7 linked regions of the Sus scrofa genome follow. The protein of the gene in region 1 interacts with the protein of each later gene in a biochemical or structural test. Links are inferred from orthologs where the notes say so. Each region holds a gene or a part of one and is shown in the gene's direction. Other genes may lie near its edges.

What was found.
Region 2: of the proteins of MAPT (region 1) and CSNK1D, one has a biochemical effect on the other in vitro, tested with the Homo sapiens proteins (4 studies listed by BioGRID). The link is inferred for Sus scrofa from reciprocal best matches to the Homo sapiens genes MAPT and CSNK1D.
Region 3: of the proteins of MAPT (region 1) and SGK1, one has a biochemical effect on the other in vitro, tested with the Homo sapiens proteins (3 studies listed by BioGRID and IntAct). The link is inferred for Sus scrofa from reciprocal best matches to the Homo sapiens genes MAPT and SGK1.
Region 4: of the proteins of MAPT (region 1) and PPP2CB, one has a biochemical effect on the other in vitro, tested with the Homo sapiens proteins (2 studies listed by BioGRID). The link is inferred for Sus scrofa from reciprocal best matches to the Homo sapiens genes MAPT and PPP2CB.
Region 5: the proteins of MAPT (region 1) and ACTG1 form a complex in vitro, tested with the Homo sapiens proteins (2 studies listed by BioGRID, with this or other methods). The link is inferred for Sus scrofa from reciprocal best matches to the Homo sapiens genes MAPT and ACTG1.
Region 6: of the proteins of MAPT (region 1) and MARK4, one has a biochemical effect on the other in vitro, tested with the Homo sapiens proteins (2 studies listed by BioGRID). The link is inferred for Sus scrofa from reciprocal best matches to the Homo sapiens genes MAPT and MARK4.
Region 7: the proteins of MAPT (region 1) and HSP90AA1 form a complex in vitro, tested with the Homo sapiens proteins (3 studies listed by BioGRID, with this or other methods). The link is inferred for Sus scrofa from reciprocal best matches to the Homo sapiens genes MAPT and HSP90AA1.

What each region holds. Positions count from the first base shown.
Region 1 is NC_010454.4:17,100,480-17,103,423, reverse strand, and holds part of MAPT (microtubule-associated protein tau), read left to right. Parts: intron 1-1,139; coding exon 1,140-1,347; coding exon of another isoform or gene 1,348-1,355; exon of another isoform or gene 1,356-2,121; coding exon 2,122-2,135; 3' UTR 2,136-2,944. UniProt on the Homo sapiens protein: Promotes microtubule assembly and stability, and might be involved in the establishment and maintenance of neuronal polarity.
Region 2 is NC_010454.4:789,286-792,913, forward strand, and holds part of CSNK1D (casein kinase I), read left to right. Parts: coding exon 1-5; intron 6-517; coding exon 518-657; exon of another isoform or gene 658-2,735; coding exon of another isoform or gene 2,736-2,768; exon of another isoform or gene 2,769-2,799; intron 2,800-3,628. UniProt on the Homo sapiens protein: Essential serine/threonine-protein kinase that regulates diverse cellular growth and survival processes including Wnt signaling, DNA repair and circadian rhythms. It can phosphorylate a large number of proteins.
Region 3 is NC_010443.5:29,624,412-29,628,685, forward strand, and holds the start of SGK1 (serine/threonine-protein kinase Sgk1), read left to right. Parts: upstream 1-1,374; 5' UTR 1,375-1,997; coding exon 1,998-2,066; intron 2,067-4,274. UniProt on the Homo sapiens protein: Serine/threonine-protein kinase which is involved in the regulation of a wide variety of ion channels, membrane transporters, cellular enzymes, transcription factors, neuronal excitability, cell growth, proliferation, survival, migration and apoptosis.
Region 4 is NC_010457.5:54,294,441-54,298,642, forward strand, and holds the start of PPP2CB (serine/threonine-protein phosphatase 2A catalytic subunit beta isoform), read left to right. Parts: upstream 1-1,345; 5' UTR 1,346-1,718; coding exon 1,719-1,820; intron 1,821-4,202.
Region 5 is NC_010454.4:1,318,925-1,323,260, forward strand, and holds ACTG1 (actin, cytoplasmic 2), read left to right. Parts: upstream 1-1,430; 5' UTR 1,431-1,574; intron 1,575-1,949; 5' UTR 1,950-1,955; coding exon 1,956-2,318; intron 2,319-2,608; coding exon 2,609-3,047; intron 3,048-3,142; coding exon 3,143-3,324; intron 3,325-3,415; coding exon 3,416-3,559; 3' UTR 3,560-4,295; downstream 4,296-4,336. UniProt on the Homo sapiens protein: Actins are highly conserved proteins that are involved in various types of cell motility and are ubiquitously expressed in all eukaryotic cells.
Region 6 is NC_010448.4:51,686,354-51,689,981, forward strand, and holds part of MARK4 (MAP/microtubule affinity-regulating kinase 4), read left to right. Parts: intron 1-68; coding exon 69-228; intron 229-3,490; coding exon 3,491-3,628. UniProt on the Homo sapiens protein: Serine/threonine-protein kinase. Phosphorylates the microtubule-associated protein MAPT/TAU. Also phosphorylates the microtubule-associated proteins MAP2 and MAP4.
Region 7 is NW_018084979.1:919,142-923,511, reverse strand, and holds the start of HSP90AA1 (heat shock protein HSP 90-alpha), read left to right. Parts: upstream 1-1,534; coding exon 1,535-1,696; intron 1,697-1,784; coding exon 1,785-2,151; intron 2,152-2,445; coding exon 2,446-2,579; intron 2,580-2,879; coding exon 2,880-3,200; intron 3,201-3,408; coding exon 3,409-3,574; intron 3,575-3,845; coding exon 3,846-4,036; intron 4,037-4,138; coding exon 4,139-4,286; intron 4,287-4,370. UniProt on the Homo sapiens protein: Molecular chaperone that promotes the maturation, structural maintenance and proper regulation of specific target proteins involved for instance in cell cycle control and signal transduction.

The sequences.
Region 1 (2,944 bases):
TGACAATGCCGGATCCTTAACTGCTAGGCCGCCAGGAGCTCCCTCTTTTTTTTTTTTTTTTTTTTTTTTTGATACTGAGCTTGTGAACTGTTTGTATATTTTGGAACCAGCTCTACTTTAAAAAGGACTTTGTTGCATCATGTTTTCTTGGGCACCTGCCAGTGCCGCCCACAGCTGCTGCCACCTCCTGTGTCATGTCACTGGCAAAGGGGAGGAATGTGTGTGGCTCCAAGCTGGGTGGCAGGGGCCCTGGGCACATCCCTGAGTCTTCTTCAGCCTCCCCTTCAACATTTCTTTCTTTTTTTTTTTTTTGCTTTTTAGTGCTGCACTTGCGGCATATGGAGGTTCCCAAGCTAGGGGTCTAATCGGAGCTGTTGCTGCCAGCCTACACCACAGCCACAGGAATGCCAGATCCGAACGGCGTCTGCGACCTACACCATAGCTCACGGCAACGCCGGATCCTCAACCCACTGAGCAAGGCCAGGGATTGAACCTGCGTCCTCATGGATGCTAGTCAGATTTGTTAACCACTGAGCCATGATGGGAACTCCTCAACATTTTCATTTGTAATTTGGCAAGGTGTGTGCATTAAGAAAATATGCGTGCCTTTGGACCCACTAGCAATTCCACTTCTAGGATACACTTAAGAGTATGTGTGAAATGATGTACCTACAAGGTTATTCAAGGTTACTCATACACAGCATTGTCTGGGAGAGCAGGAGACTGGGACAACCTCAGTTAACTACCCACAGGGGACTAGATACATTTTGGCACATCTGCTACGATGGGAAACCACACAGCCCTCCGCAGGGTCAACCAGCTGAGGGAGCTGTTACCTGGGATGGAAAGTGCAAAGCACGTGGGTGTTGTTACCATATGGATTATAGGTGGTTTTTTTCTCTTTCCTCTCTGTACTCACACACACGTTTGCATGTGTGGCCTCTCTGGAAGGGGACCCAAGACACTCACACTGGTCATGCCTCTGGAGTGGGCACCTGGGCGGCTGGCTGGCGAGTGACCAGCACCCTGGACCCGTGTTGGCTGTTGGGAAATGATGAAATCATGGTCGCCACCTGGGCTGCCTCCCACCCACGGTCCCCAGCTCCCCTCCTCACCTTCCCCCCGCTCCTCTCTTGCAGATCGAAACCCACAAGCTGACCTTCCGCGAGAACGCCAAAGCCAAGACGGACCACGGGGCGGAGATTGTGTACAAGTCGCCCGTGGTGTCAGGGGACACGTCCCCCAGGCATCTCAGCAATGTCTCCTCTACCGGCAGCATCGACATGGTGGACTCCCCGCAGCTCGCCACGCTCGCCGACGAGGTGTCCGCCTCCCTGGCCAAGCAGGGTTTGTGATCAGGGCCCCGGGGCGGTCAGTAATCGTAGAGAGAGGAGAGTGAGAGTGTGGAAAAAAAAAAAGAATAATGATCTGGCCCTTCGCCCTCTGCCCTCCCCCAGCTGCTCCTCACAGATCGGTTAATCGGTTAATCACTTAACCTGCATTGTCACTCAGCTCTGGCTTGGGACTTCCAAATCAGTGACGGGAATAAGAGCGGATTTCATCTTTCCAAATTGATGGGTGGGCCAGTCATAATAAAATATTTTTAAAAACATTTAAAAAGATGGCCACACCCAGAATTTCCCTGGGCAATTACTTTTTGATTTTTTTTACCCCCCTCTGAGTGGAAGAGGGAGGGGGAGAGGCTCTGAAAGCTGCTTCTGGGGACTCATGAGGGCCTAGGGACACCTCTCCTGGGGCCCGTCCTGGGTGGGGGGTTTCAGAGGTGGCAAGGGACTGGAAACTTGGTGCACTGGTGGAGCACAGGCACAGGGCGACCTTTGGAGCAGGATGGGGTGGGGGCTTGCAGGGCCGGGAGAGGCTGCGGAGGGGACTGTGCCAGGGGGAGGGTGTGAGAGGAAGGGCACAGGGGAGGAGGTGGCTTGGTGTCTGCCATGGTGGGCGTGCCACCCTCTGGAGGGCAGCCTGGAGGTGGAGGGCTCTGAGCCCCGCCCCCACGCCTTTGAAGGGACAGTGGGCCGGAGGGTGGCATCCTGTGAATGACTTCCTCCAAGACCACTGGCTCCATGTCCCCAGTGGTGGCCTCTTCCTCCCTCCCTGCAGGATGGGGGTCCTGAGCTGAGGGGCTCCCTCCGCCCCAGGAAGCCCTGTTTTATTGAGTTCTGAAGGTTGGAACCACAGCCACGATTCTGGCCACCTCACAGATCTGGGACCTTAGGGCTAACCAGTTCTCTTTGTAAGGACTTGTGCCTCTTGGGGGACGTCCGCCTGTTCCCAGGCTTGGGCCTGTGGCATCTCTGGAGTGTGCGGGGTCTGGGAGGGGGGTCCTGAGCCTCTCACCCCTCCCACGCCCACTGCAGCAGCCACCTGTCTGCCCTGCCTGTGTGTCTGCTGTGCGGAGCCCAGTCACTGCCTGTTCCCCTCATTATGTCACTGTCCCGAGTTCCCAGCCTCCCCCCCCACTTCAGTAATGGACGTGGTTAGATGGGGAGGCATCTCCGCATCGAGGGGGAAAGTCAAGGAGGGCGAGGTTTGGACACTGGGTGGGGGCCCTCAGTCTTCTGTTCGAAGCATCCCGCTGGCACGTCCCTCACAGTGACCCTTGATGACCTTACTCGGTTCCCTGCCCCCACCCCAGACGTGAGCCAGGGTGGGGTTCGCAATGACTCGTTGACTTGGTGAGCCTTTCCTCCCAGAAGCCTGGCCCCCCTCCCGTGCTGAGCTAGCAGCGGGTCGGCTGCCCTGGATGCCAGAGATGGCGCTGGGACAGGTAGGCAAGGCCCTCAGGGCCAGGCCGGGCTTCCTCCATCCCCACTTCTGCCTCAGCTTGTGACTGCCAGCCTCTGAGAGCCCGGCCGCTGCTCTACCCCCCATGTATATAGTCAGCCCTCCACACCCCAAAAAGGGAAACGTGCCCCCTCGGAAA
Region 2 (3,628 bases), about 16 Mb from region 1:
CACGGGTGAGTGTCCTGGCGCCCCAGCATGCGCCGCCACCCGCTTTGCCGGCGGCCGGCCCTCCGGCTCGCGTGTCGGTTGCTCCGGCCGCGCCAGCGTGTGACCTTGTAGGTCCCCGTCCCCGTCGGTTGTTATCCCGAGGTGCCCGGGCGGCTGGTAGTGTCTGTTGGCGGGTGCTGGCCTCCTGAAGGGCTGCGTCCCCCCCCGGGAGCTCCGCGTTGTCGTCTCGCTCGTCTCGAGACTTGAGTCCTCCCCACCACCTACCCCTCCGTTCTCTTCCTCGCCCGTCGCCTCGGCCGCCCTCCCGCTGGACGCCTGGCTCCCAGGAGTCAGCTGGGTGCTGCCAGGGCCCCGACGCAGGGCCGGCCCAGAGTCCGGGTGCAACAGCGCTCCCAGCCCGACGCCGGCGCAGCCGTGGCCGCGGGTCCTCGTGAGACACGGCTCCCGAGGAGAGGCCCTCGCGGAGTGTGGGGCCGCGTCCTGAGGCCTCACGCTGCCCTGTCTCCCTCTCCTCCAGCGAACACCTCTCCTCGGCCCGTGTCCGGCATGGAAAGAGAGCGGAAAGTGAGTATGCGGCTGCACCGCGGGGCCCCCGTCAACATCTCCTCGTCCGACCTCACGGGCCGGCAAGATACCTCCCGCATGTCCACCTCACAGGTACGCGCCCGGCCGCCACCGGGCCCTGCGCTCCGCAGCCGCGTTGCGCGCCGGTCCTGCGGCCCCCGCAGTGGGCGACGGCCTCGGAGGCTTCCTGCTTTCCATCCTTCTCGCTCTCCCTCTTCGGAGCGTCTGAACTGCCGGGGACCTCGTGTCCCTCGCTACCGTGGGGCCCTCGGTTGAGGGCCCCAGGGACGAGCTCTGGGGCCAGGCTGCGCCCTGGCTGTGCTGGGACGCCCGCTGGCGCCTCTTCTCTTGCGCCGTCTTCCCTGGGCGGACGCCCCCAGCCTGTGGGCGCCTGGTGTTGCAGCGCGCCTGGCCCAGCCTTCGAGCCTCTGTCCTCGCTCTTGTCAGCCGGGCGCTCCACCCCCGCGGAGAGCCCTTGTCGCCCGCCGGCAGTCACTGTAGGGCGTCCTAGGCGCCCGGCGCCATGTCTTCTCTAGCCACGCCCTGTGCCCACTCGCTCTGCTCGCTGTCCCTGCCCAGCAGCGCCACTCCTCGCCTGCGTGCTGGCAGGTCTTCTGCGCGTGGGTGGCAGGAGGCGGGCAGGGTGAAGAATGGTCCAGGTGGGCCTCTTCTCTGCTTCAGCCAGTGTCCCGTGGGGCCGGGGTCACCCCATGCTGTCTGCTGGGGGTAGCTTGTCGGTGAATTTGGCGGGTTGAGCGTGTTGATCTGGAGGCACAGGGCCTGTGCGAAGTGCCCAGAGCCTGGTTCTGCAGCGCCGGCTGGCCAGGCAAAGGGCGGGTGTGCCCAGCAGAGGAGGTGCCCCGACCACGTTTTCTTAACTGCGTGAAGTAAACAGGGCACCTGTCGCTTGCTGGCACTTCTACTGGAAACGGGCTGCTGTTCGCCCATTAAGCTTCTCTCTGGCTGGAGACGCAGCTGGTCGGAATCATGGGGCACAGAGGCTCTGGTCAGGGGTTCGAGATCGGCCCCATGCGGCTCCCGGCCCCCAGCCATCCTGCCTCCCTCGGGACACAGAAAGGGCCTCCGGGTGTGTTCCCACGAGCCCTGGAATGCACGCCTCAGTGGCCTGGCACGGGCCCAGAGCGCCTCGGCTGGGACGAAGGAGGGCAGGCCTCGCTTTGGCTTTAACACAAGGAAGGATCAGGAAGCGCCAGGGGTTCAGGGGCGCCAGCGCCTCGGGTCTGCGACCACCTCTGCCGCCGGCTCCTTGGGCTTTGCTGCCCAGTCTCCCCGTGAGGGCCTGCCTCTGCTCTCTGTTCTCTCTCTGCTTTCCTACCAAGACGTGTGCCGTGGCTCTGAGGATGGGGCGCCTCCACTTTGTCCCTCTTCCCCCCGGGGTCTCCTTAGGACCTCTGCGTTGAGGGCACAGCCCCAGTCCCCTCCATCCAGGACGGCTCTATCCCTTGGCACTCTTGCTGGCAGGCGCCGTTCCTGGCCGCCAAGGGCCTCCATGATCAGGGCTGTTCCAGGCTCGGTCTGGCTTCTTCCCCCAGAGATGCGAGCGGAGCAGGGGTGGTGACACAGGGGTGCAGGGTCGCAGTGGGCTGGGGTGGCCACTTCCCTAGCCGCCTCTGCCCCTTAGGGAGGAGGCCTGCTGATCTCAGCTGGGGGCGGGGGGACGTTGGCCTGTGTCCCTGGTCGTGGCTGGAGTGCCGCGGAGACGGCGGAGGGCTGCTGGCGGACGAGCCTGGCGGTGGCGTTTCTCTGAGAAGTGCCCCCTCCGTCCAGTGCTGTCGAGGGACACGATCCCGGCTCCTGGTGCCAGGGACTGACTTGTGCGAATCCCTGCCTCCCCTGCCCCCCCGAGGCCCGGAGCCCGGTCTTCTTCCCCGCGTCCAGCCCTCGCGCGCCTGGGCCTCGGGGAGCCGTGGGTGTGAGAGCCGATGGAGGGGCCGCCGTCGAGGGTCCCGTCCTCTTACAGCCTGAGCCCTGGGGGCGGGCTCCGTGTCGGCAGGTCCAGGGACCACTCTTGAGAGGCCGCTCCGCGGGGAGAGGCCCGGCCGGGGGCCTGGTTCGCGCAGGCAGCGCTGGTGCAGGAGGAAGGAGGAGGGGCCTCCGTGCTGGTCCCGCCGCGAACCCTCCCCAACAGCTGTCTTTTCCCCCCACCTCAGAATAGCATTCCTTTCGAACACCACGGCAAGTAGCTGCACGGCTCCCGTCGGAAGGCAGCGCTGGGTGAGTGTGCGCAGGCCGGGTGGGGGGCTTGCATGCCAGGAGCCGCCAGCGGGCGAGGCCCCTGGCCCAGGTCTTCTCCTCAGGCGGATTCCGGGGCAGCTGTCCGCTGGCCCTTGGCACCGGCGTGGGGCGCGGGAGCCCGGTGGTGGCTCCCGTGGCCCCGAAGGCTGGTGTGGACGTGCGTCCCGTCGTGCTGGCAGAGGGCCGCAGGGGGAGGGGGGCCCCTGCGCTCTCGCTGCGGGAGACACTCCTGGTCTCGGCTGTCCCGGCTTTGTCATCTCTCTTCCTTAGCGTTGACCTCTGTCGTCCTCGTTTGCTTTTCTTTGCGAGCTCGGTCTCTGCCCAGCACCTCGTCCACGCGCTCGTTTGCATTAACCCATCAGCCACAGCCGCCTGCTCCCTGCCGTCGGTGCATGGCTGGGCGTCCACGCTGCTCCTCTCGGCAGCGACTCTTGTGGCTCCTCCTGGCTCTGTCTGCTGGGCGCTGCTCTCTGGGGGCGTCTCGGTGGGGAGTGCTCGTAGGTCTTGCCCACCGGAGCCCCAGGGCCACCGGGGCCTGGGTCCTGTGTTCAGAGCAGCAGGCTCCTTTCCAGGAAGCGGCTGGGAGCAAGCGTCCCTTCTCCGCTCGGGCCCTGGTCTGATGACCGGCTCTCGGCCCCACGCCGCCGGGCTTCCTCGCCTGCATGGCTCTCCTTCCCTCCCCGTCTTCTGTCACTTTCTCTGCTGCACGTGTCCTGGCCTTAGAGGGACCTTCCGGAGCGGCTGGGGGTGCGCGTGCAGAGGGGCCAGGCGGTGTCTGTCCCCTGTGCCAGGGCACTGTCCCTGGTGG
Region 3 (4,274 bases), on another chromosome or scaffold:
ACCAGTCTCAAAAATTCTCTTTGAACTGCTGGAATTTTATATGAACTCTTTAGAAGAACCACAAAGAGCTATCGATGTTGGAGATTAAATAAAATATCCCCTTGCATCTTGATCTACTTAACGTATTTCTCCACAATGAATATTTCATTTTCTCTCAATCATAAGGCCCAGTCATTTGGTTGTGCTGCATTTTCTTTCGGAAATCTCAAAGCATTTAGCTGACAGGATTTCATTGTTATTCCCCAAAATACCTGGTCCAGCTCTAAAGACTGATGGATGCCCCAATTCAATGAAATCAATGCCTCTCTTCCCCACTTAAGCTGTATGTTTCTCTCCTTGATGTAGACTGTCATATAAACATGTTAACAGTGTTAGGTCTGCTGTTTTCAATGAGTTGGCTGTGATCAGGTAGACTTGGTGTCTTTCCCTTACGTATTGATTTCATTCCTCTGTAGTGACATTGAAAAAGCTCTACAACCTGGGACACTTGCTACATTTGGATTTGATTTAATGGATATGTGGAATGACACAGCAAACAAGTAAATGGCTAAATAAATGAATGCGTGAATGAATGAGTGCGCGACTGCCTCTATTTCATGGATGAGGCACCGTCTGAGAGGCACTGTGAGGTCAGGCAACTGGCAGAAAGCCACACACAGATGTCATAGCAGTGCCCAATCAGAAGCCAAGATTATTTTCTTTGCTTTCTCTCTTTAGCTATCAACTCTGTTACAACCCCCCCCCATAAAATACCAACAAAATAAAAATGGAAAAACAGACCACACACAAATTACATGGCTTTTTAAAATGGATTTAATGTGCAAAGAGTAACATGAGTAAAAATTTGGAGGGGTAGATTTTTCACTTGATAGACAAAATGCTTTCCTCTCTTACTCACTGGGAATCCTTCCTCTTCATTAAATGCATTCAGGAATACTTTTTTGGTAATACTCTTTGTGGTTTTTGCATAAAACACTTTGTATATATGTTCATTGTGTCCTTTTTAAAGCAGGCTTCTGTAGTGGAAAACACACACACAATTACGTTCACAGTTGCCCAGTATATTGTGACAAGTAGGAAGAGGATGCTAGAAAGGTTGTACATAGTGAGAGACCATCTATTGTTACACCTACACTTGCACTTTATTTCCTTTTTCTCTACATTTGGCCAGATCAGGAATGCATCTGATTAAATTTCCATTGAGAGGCTTTTTTCCCCCAGGAATCCATATCAACAGAATTTCAATGAGCCTAAAATAAAAAACATCCTGCATTTCACATGAAAGTCTGATGTAAATGGTCCTAACAACAAAAAGAAAAGAAAAGCAAACGATTAAAGTAACCCTTCTAAGGGGAGTCAACTGCTTTTCAGTGTGTCCGGAGCTGGTGCCCTCTCTCCATCAGCTGCTCAGATATTCATGAATCGCTGCGTCTTCCAGCGCCGCTTTCTCTCTCCCTCTGCTTTTCTGGCGCGGCTCTCCCGCTCTCCCTCCCTCCCTCCCTCTGGCTTCTGCTCTTTCTTACTCCTTCTCTCAGCTGCTTAACTACAGCTCCCACTGGAACTTGCACAATCAAAAACAGCTCTCCTCTCCAGCAGCCTCCAGAAACGCATCACCTGGAGCAGAGCGACTCTCCCAGCGCGCCCGCCGCAGAACCGCCAGGTAGCTGGGGGCGCGCAGGGGGTGCCCTTCTCCCAGTTGGCAGCAGCTGGAGCCTCTCCCCGGAATCCGCTGCATCCCGGGGTCCTGCAGCCGTGATGCCTGCGTGTCGGAGCAATGATGGAAAGAGAAAAGCCACTGCCCTTGGCAACTGAGAGTGGGGAGAGGTTGCTGCAGTAGCCGGTGCTGCAGAATGTGTGAGTGAAAACCTGAGCCCCGCTAGATTCTCCATCCCGCTCCGTCTTCGTTAACTATCTCCAGGAGGCAAACCGGGAACCAGATGCACTGACCAGGCGGGGGCCACCCTGGATTTATAACTGTGAACTCCCCACTGTGGAAAATGGTAAACAAAGACATGAATGGATTCCCAGTCAAGAAATGCTCAGCCTTCCAATTTTTTAAGAAGCGGGTAAGGACAGGTTTTGTTTGTTTCTTTTGTTTTCTGCTCTTGTCTGAAATGCATTTGATTGCCTGCTGGAGGTAAAGCCTAAGGTTTTGTTGCAGAACCTTGAATGGAAGCCGCGTCTCTGGTAGCCTCTGTCCAGCTGGGAAATGTACCTGCCTTGATGCAAATCTGTAGGTGGGGGTGCCTGAGGAGACTGGCTTTGGGAGAAGGGGGTTGGGCTGGGATGTCTTAAGGAGGGTTTGAGCTGGGAATGGGCATTTCTCAATCAAAGCCACAAGGCTGCAAGCAGTTTCAAAAAGAATTGGCCTGGGTACAGTTATGGCTAGGAATTTAGTCAAGGACTAATTCAGCAGTGTGCGCTGGCTGTGTCTTATCTCTGAAGGCTTCAACTTTTCTCACACCTTTCATTCACTCAGTCTCAAGTGCTGCATTATCATCTTCCTTCCTCAGAAGCAGCAGTTTCTGGCTTCCCAAATCCATCCAGCCAATAACTTGCTGAGTCTCTATCTTTGGTAAAAATAGCAAAGGACTAGAATGACCTTTTACAGAAATGATGGAATCCAGCATTTTAAATCCTCTTTCAAGTTGCCTTAATTTTACTTGGTAGGACCATCTTTCTTTTCGTCGGCAGTCTGAATTCAAGTGATAATACAGGGTTAGGCAGCTGTATACTTTTATTTCTTAAATTCCCTGTTCTTCCCTGTAAGAGGTTTAACCTTACATTGCTTGTAAATGAGCAAAAGGAAAAAAAGGAGGGGAATCTGTTTTGTGTGTTTCACAAGAAACTTGGTTCATTGTAATGGTCACACGGGAGATCTGCGTAAATCTGCAAATTTGTACACAAGTGGGAGGTAAGAAATGAATCATTGTTAAGTAACTGATGACTGACACTTTTATGGAGAGTTTCTTCAGCAAAAGACGTGTCCTCCAGCCCCTCGCTGCCCCAGCCCACTTAATACCCAGGGCAATTCCATCAAAATGGCTCTTTTCATTCATTCTTCTGTCCCTTCATTCAGGTCCTTTCTGTGTCATTCCTGAAACAGAGCCCTTCCTTAAGCCACCAGCAGAAAACATTGAATTACACTCTGGGCTAGACTACCTCTGGTGCCTTTACCTAGTGGGCAAGCTGGGAAGGCAAGGCTGGAAACGGCATGTCAAGCCCAGCCAGAGGGCGGGCACGGGTTCTTACACGCCTGTAACTGAGTTCTCACCAGTAAAGCAAAATCTTCCTGAAAGTCCATGGGCCAAAACATATGCATTAAAACCAAAGCGAAACCCACCCTGTCCTGGCCACTGCTCCTGGGAGCCTCATCACCGGGCAAGGTCTCTCACTAGAGGAGACTTAAGCTGAATCAAAGCAAGTCAACTTCTCAAGACTACCATCTTTCTTCACTTTCCCTGTAGCCAAGATATTTCCTTCCCTGTAGCCAAGATATTTCTTCCCAAACAAATGTTTTGCTGATAATAAAATGCTGTGGCCCATAATCCAGTATTTAAACTCTACTCTCTTAATTGATGGGAGAAGGGAAGGGGTGAGGGTGACATTGGAAATCTCCTCAGATATCTTTAATCAATCAAGTAGCTGTCAAGTAGATTTCTTTTTTTTTTTTTTTTTTTTTTTAGTTTTTCTTATTTTCTTTGTTATCGAAATCTAAAAACCGTGTTAGTTTGCTATCTGGTTTCTTTTTGCTTAACAGCATAATTTACAAATCATCTTCAGCCGGTGCCTCTGGAGGTTTTGGATTTTGCAAAGAACTAGCCAGGGCACTGATGTCTAATCTGAGTACTTTCAGAGAGAAAGAACAAGATACCTGGTGTGCTGCTTTATATCTGCCCTAGACCCTGGGTCTTCCACTTGCTGGGTTCTGATCAGAATGCCCCCTCCTGTTGTCCTTACTTCTTAAGGTCAGAAACTAAGCAGAAAGTGAATTTGTGCCAAGTCATAGATGACCGCAAAGGATAAAGCCCTTTTTTTTTTGCCCATAAGTTTGCTTTTCCAAAAGTTCCTTTCAGTTTTTATGTGACTTTGCTTTTTGTTCTGTTTTGTTAGGTCTGGGTTTTTAATTACACTGCTAATATGTAAATAAATGTGTCAAGCATTAAGGTAACACCCATGTAAATCCCATCTCCTCCCTAATCTTCCTCCCTTCTCCAGGGTAACTCTTGCTACCGTGTTGGTCTATACTTTCCAGACCTTTTCTATGCATCTGC
Region 4 (4,202 bases), on another chromosome or scaffold:
CCCCTCCTATTCTGTACGTATTGTTTTACCACCTTTTCATGTTCTGTCTTGCAGTTGGTTTGCTGCTGTTTACAAGACACTTGAGAACAGGAGCTCTTCCAGCCTTATTTTCCACCATAGGACCTATTTCGGTTATTAGGAGTATTTGTAGCTTTCCAAAGAGACCATGGTCTTGCACACATTTGTTCTCCGCCACTTTCCAAAAAAAAAACCCAAAATCCTGAGAACTCCTTTCCTCTTTTCCAGGGAACTCCAAAGTGTTGCTTAGGGAGAAGGTTCAAAATTCAGTTGAAATGCCACCTCTCTCAGGGTTTCCCTAGTGGTCCAGTGGTTAAGACTCGGCCCTTTCGCTGATGCTGCTGGGGTTTAGTCTCTGGTCTGAGAACTGAGACCCCGCAGCAAACCACTGCAAAAGGAAAAGAAAAAAAATGCCACCCTTCTAAAGTTTTCTGTAGCTATTGCCTAGGAGGGATAAGGCAAGAAACAGAGGAACATGGCTCCCAAACTCTACTGTTGGATAAGCACTTGTAGAATTTAATCATGATAACCTGAAAAGGGCTTATTGCCCCCTTTTAACAGATGATGAACTTGAGGCTGGGGGAGCTTTGGTGATTGTCCAAGGACCTGGCTGGGAGGCTAGCAATGCCAAGAGGGAGCTGGAGGGAGTTCTTGCCTTCAGATACAAGAGGCTGCCTCCCATTTGGGTTCAGTGGCAATAATCTGCAACTATAATATAGGAAGTCAACTTGGTAAGCATTAGCTGTTCAAGAGATCTGGCAGTTAGCAGTTGCTCATTAAGTATCTGTTGCATGAACAAATCATGAGAATTCAGTAAACACTGCAGTCAACTCCGTGGAGGATGAGGGAGCTGGGACACTGATTGGTAAAACACAGAGCTGTCATCTCATCTTTCTGATGCTGAAAGGGGGGATTCGAGATGTCAGTGCCTCACAGCTAGTTCATAACAGAGGTAAGACTAGAAAGAATTTATTTTTTTTCTCAACAAATGTTGACCACCTGCTATGGGAGAGTGATAGATTCTGAGGAGACAATGTTGTCAAGGAGGGGGACAAGCTTTCCAATCCCCTCTACAGAACGCTAAAATAAAAAGAAGAAAAAAAGGGGGAAAAAAGCACTGCAGGAAACTATAGTGGGTACAGACTTGCGTAAAATTATGTAAAGAAAGAACTGGGAGAGCTTGGTCGATAAAGTGCAAGATGGAAGGGAAAGGGACCGTTTCTCCGCCGAGCCACACGGGGGCGCTGTACCCCTCCTCGAGTCCCGGGCTCCGGCGGCACCGCCTGCTAACCTTTTCCCGGCGGAAATGCCCGGGCGATGACGGAAACCCAGAGGGAGGGGAAAGAAAGAGCGAGAGAGAAGGGGCAAGGGAATCCAGAGCAGCGGGCGGGCGGGAGGCGGCGGCGGCGGCAAGTGGCCATAATCCGGCGGGAGCTGCGCGGAAGTCCCGCACCTCCCCGCGCCCTCCAGTGACGCCCAGGGCGCGCGGCCCGGCGGGCCAGGGCGGGCGGGGGTCTCCCGAAGGCCGCGCGCCAGGAGCCGCCCGCGGGGCTCGGGCGGGGCGCGGGGTCCGGGGCCGCGCTCCCCCACTCCTTCCTCTCCCACTGGGAGCTGGCGGCGGCGGGCGAGGGGAGCGGCGCGAGGGGCGAGGGCGGGCGGGGAGGGGGGCGGGAGACGGCGGGGGAGGGGCTCGGGTCGCCATGGACGACAAGGCGTTCACCAAGGAGCTGGACCAGTGGGTCGAGCAGCTGAACGAGTGTAAACAGCTTAATGAGAACCAAGTGCGGACCCTATGCGAAAAGGTAAGAGAGAAAATTGGCGAGATGCGGCCGGCGTGCGACAGGCTGGGTGGGGGCTGGGACCTATCCTCTCCCCTCTCCCTCCTCTCCCCTCCCCCCTCCTTCCCCTCCCCCTTTCTCCTCCCCCCCTCCCCCCCACCTCTTCTCCTGGCCTGCTTGTCCCTTGTCCGGCGCGTCCGTCTGGGACCTGCGGGGCTGCGTCTCCCACTCGGGCAGCCTCCCCCGGGAGGAGCCGGGCTGTTCCTGGACCCCCTGGAGACCCAGCACCCGGCTGGGGTTGGAAGCTCCCAGTCCTGGCCTAAGGGGTCCGGGGTAGGTGGGCGGGGGCAACGTGGCACCCGGAATCCACTCCTGGAGTGATTGGGGCGCCGACTGTTTTCTGGGTTTTGCTGACACTCCAGTATTTCCGTGCGGACTAGCAATCCGCGCTTTAGCTGGCTGGCAGGGTAATCTAGGCAATCTCGTAGTTGAAAATGAACCTGGACGTTGTGAATCTCAAGGCCCTTGATATAATAAACGTAGCCGTTTTCTCAGGTGACTCGGTCCTTCAGAAATCATCGAGTTGAAATGTATCAAGCATTTGTTTATAGAGAGGTGGGTGTGATGGCGGACTGTGATTTTTAAAATAGAAGTTGACTTTGGTTGAGACAGATGGTGACTGGTCTTCTTCAATTGAGAAGCTCTCTGGAAGCAAAAATGTTGATTTTCAGAAACAGGACGGCTAGTCTTAAGTTTGGCAACACTGCTTGCATGAAATGATCAATGGGTACGTGTTTTACGTGCAGGGTAACACTTTTCAGAAAGTTATTTCTATTACATATTTAAGTTGTTTTTTTCCAAAAAGTAGTAAAATATGCAGGCAATTAACTGTTTACAGTCGCTGTTGATTGTGTGATTTTAGGCCACTTTCTGAGTCCTATATTCGTTGTTTTCTTAACCTCGAATTATTTCAGATTTTACAGTTTATTTTTCTCATTCCACCTTTTTTTTGGCCTAAATAATATTAATACATTTTTATGTAAAAAGGTTCATATGAAGGAGTAACAAAGTTATTTATTCTTTAATGCTTTTGATTGGTTTGTATTTTTAAGCCATGACCCATAAGACTTTCTTGATCATTGTGTTTGTAAGCCGGGATGCCTCCGAAAAGCATTGAAGAAGGAAAGATTTTGTCAATGTTGTTTATAGCACACCCTTAAAATTAAGCATCTTAGGAATGGAGGAGTAATAGCTGTTTTGTTGTTGTTGTTTTCCTTTTTATGGCCGCATCCAAGCATATAGAAGTTCCCTGGGCCAGGGGTTAAATCTAAACTGTAGCTGTGGAGTTAAATCCTTTAACACATTGAGTGGGCCAGAGATCAAACCTGGACCTCTGCAAAGACCTGAGCTGCTGCTGTCAGATTCTTAACCCACTGCACCATTGTGGGAACTCCCAAGAATAGTGTTTTTAGTTACATGTATTGTTGCTTAGGGTCTACATACATATGTAACTTTTTAGAATTGAGGTATAGTTAATTTACAATGTTGTGTTAGTTTCAGGTATACAGCAGTCACTCAGTTACACACATATATGTGTATTCTTTTTCAGATTTTTTTTCCATTATAGGCTATTACAAAAATATTGAATAAAGTTCCCTGAGCTGTACAGCACATTTTTGTTTTTACCTGTTTTATATATAGTCGTGTGTTTGTGTGCTCATCCCAAACTCCTAACTTACCTCTTCACCCCCTTCCCCCGCTATCCTCTTTAGTAACTATAAGTTTGTTTTCTGTATCTGTGAGTCTGTTAAATAACTATTTGTTAACACAGGAGTGTATTTCTGTAAATAGAACTGCCAAGCAAATGGTATTTTTGTTTCCCTGAAACAGGCTGTTTACTTACCACTTCAAGTTCCACATTCAGTTTTCTTGTGTGATAACCTGTAATTTCATGTCTTAGAATTTACATTTTAATTCACGCTCTCTTAGGCTCCAGTGTCAGGTGAAACATTCAGTTCTGAAATTAGCTGAGTCAGTTCACCTCACTGTGAACAGTAGATAAAGACTTGAAGTTATGGACAAAGTTGGCAGTTGAATCAGTTTTTCCCTTTAATTCTCTAATAAATTTAAGATGTCTTCTGGAGAAGAATATTCTACCCCTCAACCACACTTGAATCCTAATCACTTGAGGAAGCTTTCTGTGTTTGTCCAGAGAGATTATTTTAACTTTAGCTCCTGAATTGAACTACCAATCCCTAGGACCTTTGAGATATATCTAACCTTATGTCTTACTTTTTTTCTTTGAATATTTGTACTTGCCCACTAAGCATGAATTTTTAAGTGAAAATTCCCAGTCATTTGTCTTGGTCCTCCACCACCTTGATGGATTGCCAGTGGACTGGAGAA
Region 5 (4,336 bases), about 16 Mb from region 1:
AGGCCTGGTGGCACAGGTGGCCGTAGGCATGGATTGCGTTTGGGTGACAGAGGTTCCCCCCCAGGTGAGCTGGGCAGCGGCTTTACCTGTCTAGCCCAACGCAGATGTGAACACCAGCTGAAGGGCTCTTGGGGCACCTGGTCCCGCCCCCCCATCGGCAGACACCTGCCCAGGTCCAGCCAAGCATACTGGGACCCTGACAAGGCCCCAGACTCGGTCTGCCCGGCACCACTGCCACCCCTCTTGGCCAGTGCTCTCTCTTCCCTGTGGCTCTTTTGATGTTTAATTCCGTGCTGAGCAATCCCGAAAGCTTCCAAAGTACCTGGTTCCCTCTGGGCATAACCAAAGCACTGGTGGCAGCAGGTGTGACCAAGACCCTGCCAGCAGTGACAGGACTTCAAGACCAGCCTCCTGGGGAAAAGGGCGCGCCCTGGAGCCGACTGGACCCACAGCCCCAGAGTTACTGAGGCCTAGGAAACCCACTCCAGGCGTGGCCGTTTCCTAGTATCATAAACAGAGAAGAGGGTGCCCCGCTCAAGTCTAGGGGGAAGGTGATGATTCAGGTAGCCCCTGCCTCAGTTTCCATACAACACTCAAAAGTAATTAAAATGGAGCAAAACTCCACCACCTCCCCCGCGGACGAGGAGGGGGTGGCCCCAAACGCAGAGAGGAGCCGCCGCCTGGGGACAATCGGGTCTGCGGTTTGAGGCGCAGGATGCGTTGGTTGGGTGTGGTAGGACGGGGCCTGTCTCTGCACAATCAGGGACCCCCGGCGCCCCGACACCGGCGGAGGGGCCTTGGCGGTGGTGGCTGCGCTAGGAAACGGGCGGCTCCTTCTCGTCGTGAGAAGGGCGAGGTCACGGCTCCCCGGGACTCCCCCGGACCGCCGGGCCCACAGTGCCGCCACGGCGACCGGCGGCGACCACCGCCCTCTCCCCTCCCCCACGCCCCCAGCTCAGCACCGAGAAGCCGCCTCGCGGCCCGAGCTCCCTGCAGAGCCTCGGGGAGGAAACTCGCAGGGGGCGCGCGGGGAGCGAAGCCCCCCTGCGGGGGCGGGGCGCGGGAACACACCCTGCTCCCGGTGCCGCCCAGCCCCGGGCCAGGCAGTTTCGGGGTGCAGCCGGGCCCTCCCCCAGGGTGCGCGACAGTCCCGGGGCGGAGCCGGCGGGTCAGCTCTGCGGCCCACCCTGCGACCCCGGGGGCGGTGGGGGGGGGAATCGCCAGCCCGGCCCGCTAGCCTGCCCCGCGCGGGGTCTCGCGCGCGGGGTCGCGGGCGCGCGGGGGCGGCGCGGGCGGGGCGGTTGGGGGCGGTGCGGGAGGGGGCGGGACCGGGCGCGGGGCCCCACGTGCCCCGGCCGGCCGGGCCAATGGGCGCCCGGCGTTCGGAAAGATCGCCATATATGGACATGTTCTGGGGCCGCGCGCGCCGCCGGGCCGCGCGCGCCCCCCGCTCCGCTTAAATAGGGGCGGGGGAGGCCGCGGTCGGTCTCGCTCGCCGCAGCCGGCCCGCGCTCCGTGTCTTCTCGCCGCTCCTCCGCTCGCTCCTCCGCGCCCCGCGGCCGCCGTCTCCGCCGGTAGGTGACCAGGCCTGCGCAGCTCCGGCCCGGTGTCCGGCTCTCGCGCTCCTCCGCAGGCCCGGCCCCGGCCCCAGAGGCCCGGCTTCACCGCCGCTGGCAACAAAAGGGGCGGCCGGGCGGGCCCCCGGGGTCCGCAGTGGGGGCGCCCTCGGGGGCGGGAGCTGGGTGGGGTCCGGCCGCACTGCCGAGCGCTCTGGGCCGCGCCGCCGCGGAACGGCGGCGGGCGGGGGGGTTACATAAAAGGCGGCCCCGGTTCCGGGCGGTTTCTCCGCTGCCGGGCCGGGGGGAGGCGGAGCGTCTCGCGGGCAGGGCCTTTGCAGGGGCCGTCCCGGCGCCGCTGGGCGCGCCTGAGCCGCTCGTGCCTTTGAGCAGATCGCCATGGAAGAAGAGATCGCCGCGCTGGTCATCGACAATGGCTCCGGCATGTGCAAAGCTGGCTTTGCTGGGGATGACGCCCCCCGGGCCGTGTTCCCGTCCATCGTCGGGCGTCCCCGACACCAGGGTGTCATGGTGGGCATGGGCCAGAAGGACAGCTACGTGGGCGACGAGGCTCAGAGCAAGCGGGGCATCCTGACCCTCAAGTACCCCATCGAACACGGCATCGTCACCAACTGGGACGACATGGAGAAGATCTGGCATCACACCTTCTACAACGAGCTGCGCGTGGCCCCCGAGGAGCACCCCGTGCTGCTCACGGAGGCCCCCCTGAACCCCAAGGCCAACCGTGAGAAGATGACTCAGGTAGGCGCTGCCGGGTGCAGTGGGCCGTTTCCATCCGTTTCATGAGTCGTTTAGTGCTGAGCTTTTGGGTTTTTTTTCCTGAAATTCAAGTGTTTCTTTCGATATTTTCAGGGTTCTGTTCTTCTCCTGGCATTTCCTTCCTGAAGTCTCAAGGTTTCTCGTTTGTGTTTCTGCCTGCTTCCTTTTCTTTTCTCCACACATCACATCACGTTTGTGGCATGTCGGCATGGTGTGTAGCATGGGGTGGCCCGGGGTCCCTTCTCTGACTAAGGAGCCGTTGCCTTTCCCAGATCATGTTCGAGACCTTCAACACGCCGGCCATGTACGTGGCCATCCAGGCCGTGCTGTCCCTGTACGCCTCTGGCCGCACCACTGGCATTGTCATGGACTCTGGGGATGGGGTCACCCACACGGTGCCCATCTACGAGGGGTACGCCCTGCCCCACGCCATCCTGCGTCTGGACCTGGCTGGCCGGGACCTGACCGACTACCTCATGAAGATCCTCACGGAGCGGGGCTACAGCTTCACCACCACGGCCGAGCGGGAGATCGTGCGGGACATCAAGGAGAAGCTCTGCTACGTCGCCCTGGACTTCGAGCAGGAGATGGCCACCGCCGCGTCCTCCTCCTCCCTGGAGAAGAGCTACGAGCTGCCCGACGGCCAGGTCATCACCATCGGCAACGAGCGCTTCCGGTGTCCAGAGGCGCTCTTCCAGCCCTCCTTCTTGGGTAGGTGTCGGGCAGCGCGGCCTGCCTGGGGGGGGCCCGGGGGCTCATCCCCTTGCACGGGGGACCGCTAAGGGGGCGCTCTGTCGGCCTCTCAGGCATGGAGTCCTGCGGCATCCACGAGACCACCTTCAACTCGATCATGAAGTGCGACGTGGACATCAGGAAGGACCTCTACGCCAACACGGTGCTGTCTGGCGGGACCACCATGTACCCCGGCATCGCCGACAGGATGCAGAAGGAGATCACGGCCCTGGCGCCCAGCACCATGAAGATCAAGGTGAGTCGGGTGGCCGTGGGGTCGGCAGGCGGCCTTGCTGGGACCCAGGGCTTGGCTGCCGGAGACTGAAGTCCCGCCCTTGTCTCCCCAGATCATCGCGCCTCCCGAGCGCAAGTACTCGGTGTGGATCGGGGGCTCCATCCTGGCCTCGCTGTCCACCTTCCAGCAGATGTGGATCAGCAAGCAGGAGTACGACGAGTCGGGCCCGTCCATCGTCCACCGCAAATGCTTCTAGACGGACTGCGAGCAGATGCGTAGCATTTGCTGCATGAGCTAATCCAGAAATAAAGTTTGCCCTGGCAAATGTACACACCTCATGCCAGCCTCCTGAAACTGGAATAAGCCTTTGAAAAGAAATTTGTCCTTGAAGCTTGTATCTGGTATCAGCACTGGATTGTAGACCTTGTTGCTGATTTTGACCTTGTACTCGAGTTAACTCTTCCCTTGGTCTCTGTTTAATACCCTGTGCATATCTTTGATTTAAACCCCTAGTTACACACACGCGGCTCTGTCACCTCGTGGCTGAGGTGAGAACCTGTTTATCGTGGAAGAGAAATCCGTTGGCTGGTTGAGAATCTGAGACGGAGTCTCTCCGATCTGTGCAGGGTATTCATGTGTCCGAGCTCCTATTCCAGGATTTCTCTCGAGGCTGGCAAGAGTCCTGAACCAGTTGTCATTTCTGTCTTGCCGGTCTGACGGGGTTGGGAAGGTCCGAGCCTTAGGACCCACTGTCCTTTCTTCCCCGATGTTTGCCCGCCAGAAAACCGTGGGTTGTTAACTTGCCTTGAGTTGGAAGCGTTTGCATTCACACCTGTAAATTTATTCATCCTTTTAATTTATGTAAGGTTTTTGTACGCAATTCTCAATTCCTTAAGAGATGACAACAGATTTTGGTTTTCTACTGTCACGTGAGAACGTTAGGCCCCAGCAACGCGTCATTGTGAGGAAATAAAGTGCTGCAGTAAACCCTTCGCCGGCTCCTGCTTGGGCGCGGGGCGGCTTCCCCACCAAT
Region 6 (3,628 bases), on another chromosome or scaffold:
CCAGGGTGGAGGGACTTCTGGGCCAGAGGGGTCGGGGCTGAGGTTCCTTGTCTGTCATCTTCATGCAGGAGGGTGGGGACCGGGGCGCCCCGGGGCTGGCCCTGGCACGGGTGCGGGCGCCCAGCGACACCACCAATGGAACAAGCTCCAGCAAAGGCACCAGCCACAGCAAAGGGCAGCGGAGCTCCTCCTCCACCTACCACCGCCAGCGCAGGCACAGCGACTTCTGTGAGTATGGTCCCCACGCGCTCACCTGCCGTCCCTGGGCCCGAGGCCTCAGACCGTCAGGATTCTCTGGGCAGCAAGGCACAGAGACCTGCTCAGGCCACCTGCAGCGAAGGGAGGAATGTTCTGTAAAGGTGCAGGGATAGTGTATGAAACTTGGGGCACCCGGGCTCAGGAATGCGTTAGAAACTGGAAAAGCCGGAGTTCCCGTCATGGCTGGAAAAGCAGATGAATGCGGAGCGGACACTCTGTGTCTGGCTTCTCGGCTTGTCCGGTTGCTTTCTTTCTTACGTAACTCACCGTATCTCCTTCCCAGGCCCTTACGACTCGTTTTAGAGACCAGCTCAATTCGTAACTGAGATCTTCCTGGTCCACTTGCTATCAGGGTCCAGTTGGTATTAATCCATTTGACTAGGACACAAGAGGACACGTATTTGTACAAAACGGCTGCTGAGAGCCTGCCCTCTGGCCTGTCCTCCACACTTCCTAGTGGGAAGGGGCTGGGCAGACACCTGATTGTACCCCCCATTCTGCAACTAACCGATATCTCATATCCTACAGAAAGTAGATCCACTGCAAGTGGGACCCGGGAACTTCTAAGAGATCTCTTACCGAGGCCCTCATCAAATGGGAACCCTCCTAATACTTTTAAATAGCTTTATTGAGATATAATTCACACACCAAACAATTCATCACTGAGAGTGTGCCGTTCAGCGGTGCTGGTGTATCAAGAGTCGTGCAGCCGTCACCACAGTCAGCTTTAGAATATTGTCAGTACCCCAGAAAATACTCTACAACCTTCAGCCTTTGACCTTTTACTTAGATCCCCACCCGTCCCAACCCCCAGCCCACTACTGATCTATTTTCTGTCTCTAGATTTCCCAGTTCCGAATGTTTTTGTCTGCCTTCTTTCACTTAGGATTTTATTTTCAGGTTGATCCACGTTTAGCAGGATCAGCACGTAGTTCCTTTTTCTTATTGAATATCCATCGCGCGGATACACCGCATTTTGTTTACCCACCGAAGGGCATTTGAGTTGTTTCGGCCTTTGGCTGTTGTGAATAACACTGCGGTGAACACTCATGTACACGTTGTTCGTGGGGATCTGTGTTTCTATTTCTCTTGGGCCTTACTTAGGACTGGAATTGCTGGGTCATCTGGTAAACTCTATGTTTCACAGTAAGGAACTGCCAAGGCAATTTCCAACTTTCTGTTATTTTTGTAGCCCCGCCTCTCTCCAGGGGTGTTCTTTACTCTGGACCAGGCACTAGCACTGGGAGAGGGGACTCAGGGAAGCTTGGTATCAGTCCTGAACCGAAAAAGGTTGGTTCTGGATGGTCAGGCCACCCTCTCCCCTGGGCCTCCTTTTTCCCACGTATAAAATAGCAAGATTGGTCCAGAAAGTCCCTAAGAAGTTTGTGACTCCAACATCCTATGGTTAGAACATGGTAACCTTTCAAAAACCCCACATGGGGAGTTCCCATCATGGCACAGCAGAAACAAATCTGACTAGGAACCATGAGGTTGCAGATTCAATCCTTGGCCTCGCTCCGTGGGTTAAGGATCCGGCATTGCCGTGAGCTGTGGTGTAGGTTGCAGACAGGGCTCAGATCCTGCGTGGCTGTGGTGTAGGCTGGCAGCAACAGCTCCGATTGGACCCCTAGCCTGGGAGCCTCCGTATGCCATGGGCGCGGCCCTAAAAAGACAAAAGACCAAAAAAAAAAAAAAAAAAAAAAAAAAACCCTGGATTCTGAGATTCTCTGTGTGAAGGATGGTTGATGGGCCCCCTGTGTCCATCATTGTAGAGTTTTTTATGATTTGGGGACTTTTTTTTTTTTTTTGGACCATGCCCACAACATGCAGAAGGGTCAGGGATTGAACCCTTGCCACAGTAGCAGCCTATTCCACAGCAGTGACAACATCAGATCCTTAACCCACTGAGCCGCCAGGGAGCTCCTCCAGTTCTGGGACTTTTGAGCATTAAGTTTCTTGAGGCTTTCCCATGCAGAAGTCCTAACGGTCTGGGGTTCTAGGACATATTTAACTCCCTTGGTTCTAAAACCATACATTCCCAAGATGGCCTAAGGAACCAATCTGGTTTTGCTCTGTTTTTGAAACTAATACAGTCACTTCCTTCAAAACTTGATAGCACAGGAAAGGTAAATAGCTAAAAAGTCTTGGAGTTCCCTAGTGGCTCAGCAGGTGAAGGATCCAGCATTGTCACTGCTGTGGCACAGGTTTGATCCCTGGCCTAGGAACTCCTTCATGCCATGGTGCAGCCAAAAAACAAAAGAAAACAAAGAAAAAAGTCTTTGTCCTACTCGTATCTCCCAGCCCTCAGTTCTCCTCGGAGGCAGCCACTGTTACCGGCTTTATATGAATTCCTTTGGAGAAGTTTTACTCATATGTAAATATATAAAGAGACAGGTATGAAAAGGAGGAGAAAGATAGAAAAAATGAACGAAGATGTATAATACAATATTTAATATACTTATACTATCAAGAAATATTATCCCCTTTTAATAGAAATGAGAGCCGCTTGGCAACATTTGTTTATAAACAAATATAGAGTTAGAGACACAAACACCCCTTTTTTTTTTTCTTTCTAGGGCCACATTTACAGCATATGGAGGTTCCCAGGCTAGGGGTCGAATTGGAGCTGTAGCTGCTGGTCTACACCACAGCCATAGCAACGCCAGATTCGAGCCACATCTGCGACCTGTGCCACAGCTTGTGGCAACACCAGATCCTTAACCCACTGAGCGAGGCCAGGGATCAAACCTGCGTCCTCATGGATACTAGTCAGGTTCTTAACCTGCCAGTCACAATGGGAACTCCCCACTTTCCCCCCTTTTCTACACGACATCCCACTGTAGATGTTATACCTTGCCTTGCCTCTTCTACTTCAGTCTGTCTTGAAGATCATTTGGTGTTGGGACCTTCTTTATAGCTGCATAGTATTCCATTGTGTGGCAGTATCTTGACTGACTTAGTTTCCCCATATAAAGGGGCATCTAGGTTGTTCCCAGTCTTTTGGCTTTAAAAAAAAAAAAAGAAGCATGCAGTGAGTAACATATGTGCATCATGTGATTTATGTGGCACCTCTGGGTCACTTTCACACATGTCTGTGTCACATTGACAGATATTGTCAGAATGGCCTACACAGATGTAGGCGATAAGGAGTTCTAAGATCCCAAGGATTTCCCAGAGTAGGTTCTGGCTTTTCCAGGTCATGCCAGCCATAACTGTCGCCTTCCTCTACCAGGTGGTCCGTCTCCCGCACCCCTGCACCCCAAGCGCAGCCCAACCAGCACAGGGGAGGCGGAACTGAAGGAGGAGCGCCTGCCAGGCCGGAAGGCAAGCTGCAGTGCTGCTGGGAGCGGGAGCCGAGGGCTGCCCCCCT
Region 7 (4,370 bases), on another chromosome or scaffold:
CACGCTTGTTCACCAAACCGGAATTCCAGACCAGGACCCGCACCGTGTTTAGGACAAATCCCCACGGGGTTCGAGCATGGGCTTGAGAATTCAGGACTTCAAGTGTCCCTTTCATCGTTTCCGCGGTGCACAGTGGGGTCCCCAAGTCCGTGCAGTGGCCTGCGACTGCCGTGTCTGTGGGGTTGGGGACTCTATGGCAATGAGGGAAGAGACCCTCGCTCCCTGTCCCACCTCAGCCTCACAACCAGCCACATGGAGACCGCGAAGCGCTGGGGCTCCCCTGTGCCCCCCATGCACATACGCTGGTCACCCCTCTTGACACACCTACACTCCACGATGGGGTGAGAACCCTGGGACTCCGCATAACTAGCTCTGCCTGGCATCTGCTGCCCCACTTCCTGTGCCCTGAACTTGTAATCGCTGCCTGGGGCCCCCAAACTCCCAACCTGCCTCTGAGCTCTAATCACCTCCACACGCCTATAAAGGTGGCGTCGGACCCAGACCCTTCAACCCTGCTTCGATCCCCTAAACCTGGCCCCTGGCCCCCAGTCGCGGGCGTGACGCCGAGGGACCCGAAGCTTCCACAACGTGGGGACATTCTTTAACAAGTGAAAAGTTTACTTTTCTGGACTTCCCAGAACCGCGGGCACGGGCCTCCATCCCCGGTCCGCACGCTCCGCGCCTGACTGGGGCGAGGGGCCGCCCGCGGCCTGCGCAGCCGCGCTCTCCGAGCCGGGGTCGGGGGCCCGGGGCGGGAGGGCGGGGGACGGGGCCCCCGGAAAGCGCGAGACTTTCGCGAGAGTTCCAAGCCACGCAGGCGCACTGCGGCCGGCGCGGGCGCGCGCGCCGCGGCCGCGGAGGACGGGGCGCGCGGGCGGGTCTCCGCGCGGGCCTGCGCGCGTCCGGGGAGAGGCGGGAGGCGGCCAGGGCGCAGGCGCGGGCGCGCGGCCGCGGCGGCGGTTGGGGAGGGTTCTTCCGGAAGGTTCGGGAGGCTTCTGGAAAAGGCGCCGCGCGCTGGGCGGGCCCGCCTCTATATAAGGCAGGCGCGGGGGCGGCGCGCCAGTTGCTTCTGCGTCCTGGTGCTGCGTCGCCGCGGAGCCCGTGCCGTCCTTCAGCCAAGGTGAGGGGGCGGTTGGGGGGCTTCGGGGGCGCCTGGGGGCCGGCGGGCGGGCCCCGAGTCCAGCCCCGGGGCGGCGGGGTGGCGGGGCCGGTGCGTCCGGGCGTCTCGCAGGCCGCGGGCCTGCCGCGGCCTCCCCTCCCCCCGCCGGCAGCGGGCGGGCCTGGGCCGCGGCGGGGCCGGGGCCGTGCGGAGGCGCGGGCCGGGATCCCTGGGCCCCCGAGGGAGGCGAGCCCCCGGCCCGGCGGGCGGGCGGGGGCGGCGGCGGCCGGCCGGGGGCCCCAGCAGCTCGGGCCGCCGTGCACACGCTCGGGGCCTGGGCCCGGAATGAGGTCATCCCTTTGTCAGCCGGCGGCCCCGGATCCCGCGGGGACGGCGGCGGCGGGCGCGCTGGAGCCGGCTCGGTGTCCCTTCCAGATGCCCGAGGAAACCCAGACCCAAGACCAGCCGATGGAGGAGGAGGAGGTGGAGACGTTCGCCTTCCAGGCGGAAATCGCCCAGTTGATGTCGTTGATCATCAACACTTTCTACTCGAACAAGGAGATCTTTCTGAGGGAGCTCATTTCCAACTCGTCCGATGTAAGTTGCCTTCGGGATTGGGCTTTGGTGTCGGTGTGAAATGCACCATTTTGGGGTTTCGGGCGTAATCATTTGCGGGTTTTGATAGGCTTTGGACAAGATCAGATACGAAAGCCTGACGGATCCCAGTAAACTAGACTCCGGAAAAGAGCTGCACATTAATCTCATTCCGAACAAGCAAGACCGGACCCTCACGATAGTGGACACCGGCATCGGAATGACCAAGGCCGACTTGATCAATAACCTTGGTACGATCGCCAAGTCTGGGACCAAGGCGTTCATGGAGGCTTTGCAGGCCGGTGCCGATATCTCCATGATTGGCCAGTTCGGTGTCGGCTTCTACTCTGCGTACCTGGTCGCTGAGAAAGTGACCGTTATCACCAAACACAACGATGACGAGCAGTATGCCTGGGAGTCTTCTGCAGGAGGATCTTTCACCGTTAGGACAGACACAGGTAGGCGTCGGTGGAGGGTGGGGTGCTGTAGACACTGGACCCCAGGAGATACTGTGCAATTTGTGTTAAAGATTAGAAAAAAAAACCGTTTTTGTTTCCCTGAACTGAGATAGCCTGACGTCGTGGTTATTTATCTCGGGCCTGGCCCTTAATTGCTCAGGGACTATTTTCTTCTGTAGTAATCTTGCTCGGGACAGTTCAGTGTTATCTGTGGCTTTGAGAGCCGAATGGGGGCTGCTTTAGTTTTGATTAGGGTCTTAAGATTGAAATTGAGTTTGTGTCTTGCCTTTTCAGGAGAACCTATGGGTCGTGGAACAAAGGTTATTCTACATCTGAAAGAAGACCAAACTGAGTACTTGGAAGAAAGGAGAATAAAGGAGATTGTGAAGAAACACTCTCAGTTTATTGGCTACCCCATTACTCTCTTCGTGAGTATTTGTGCATTTTCTTTGTAGACAGCCAAGTAAGTGAATTGAAATCCTTGCTTTTTAGGAAGAGATCCAAACTTGAGTATTGACTCAAGACTAGTGAAGCGCTCTCTCTTACTGTGTTGGGGTATCTAGGGTTATTTATGTGGCTTTATGAGGAATTGACCAGAAGCTTCCTGGCTCCTGAATGTTTCTCAGTTGGGTGACGAGGTTTTGGTGTCCATGCTGTAGTTCCTTTTAGCTTACTAGTTTTTTAATTTTGGGGGGGAAAAAGGTGATGATTTTGTGTTTCTTTTTAAGGTGGAGAAGGAACGTGATAAAGAAGTCAGTGACGACGAGGCGGAAGAAAAGGAAGACAAAGAGGAAGAAAAGGAGAAAGAAGAGAAGGAATCTGAGGATAAACCAGAGATAGAAGATGTTGGTTCTGATGAAGAGGAAGAAGAAAAGAAGGATGGTGACAAGAAGAAGAAGAAGAAGATCAAGGAGAAGTATATTGATCAAGAGGAACTCAACAAGACAAAGCCTATCTGGACCAGAAACCCCGATGACATCACTAATGAAGAGTACGGGGAGTTCTATAAGAGCTTGACCAATGACTGGGAGGATCACTTGGCTGTGAAGGTGGGTGATTGCTGAAGCTGGCGTCAGCAGGTTGTCTGCCCCAAATGGGTAAACGTGAGGGTACTTTCTGGCAGCTTTCTCTCCCTACCCCAGCCCGGCGTCCCCCCAAGTGCTTTGTGTGACCGCAGATGTGTAGCTGTCAGGTAGCCTCACTTGTCAGCAGGAGTTGCTTGTGGTATGTGTTGCTCACGGCTGTGTTTTATTGCAGCACTTTTCAGTCGAAGGGCAGTTGGAGTTCAGAGCCCTTCTTTTCGTCCCAAGACGCGCTCCTTTCGACTTATTTGAAAACAGAAAGAAGAAGAACAACATCAAGCTGTATGTTCGCAGAGTGTTCATCATGGACAACTGCGAGGAGCTCATCCCTGAGTATCTGAGTAAGTAGAGTTGAGCCTAAGAAACGACGGCTGTCAAATTCATCCTGTCAACCCCGTGCCACGCGCGCAAGTTCCTGGGCCAGGGGTCACACCCACGCCACAGCAGAGACCCGAGCTACTTCAGTGCGTTGCCAGATCGTTAACCCACTGTGCCACCAGAGACGGAATTCCAGACTTGGAAATGCATGGGGAAAACTGCGTTCTCTTTGGGTTTAGCTGTTTGTTGATTTTTGTCGGAGTGATTTTGAGTGCATTTGGCATGCTTTTCCAGATTTCATTAGAGGCGTGGTGGACTCTGAGGATCTTCCTCTGAACATTTCTCGTGAGATGTTGCAACAAAGCAAAATTTTGAAAGTCATCAGGAAGAATCTGGTCAAGAAATGCTTGGAGCTCTTTACTGAATTGGCCGAAGATAAAGAGAATTACAAGAAGTTCTATGAGCAGTTCTCTAAAAATATTAAGGTAGGTAATCGTGTGACAACAGCTGTAACCAAACTACTTCTCCTTTTCAATGAATTTGTTTTTAAGGCCAAGTTTTGTTGAAGCTACCATTGTTTGTTTCAGCTTGGAATACATGAAGATTCTCAAAATCGGAAGAAGCTTTCCGAGCTGTTGAGGTACTACACTTCTGCTTCTGGCGACGAGATGGTTTCCCTCAAGGACTATTGCACCAGAATGAAGGAGAACCAGAAACACATCTATTACATCACAGGTAAGGCGAGATGGGTGTAATCGTCATGCCTCTTGCTCTGGGATTCCATAGGAACAGCTGGGAGTTCTCTACCCACATGGTGCT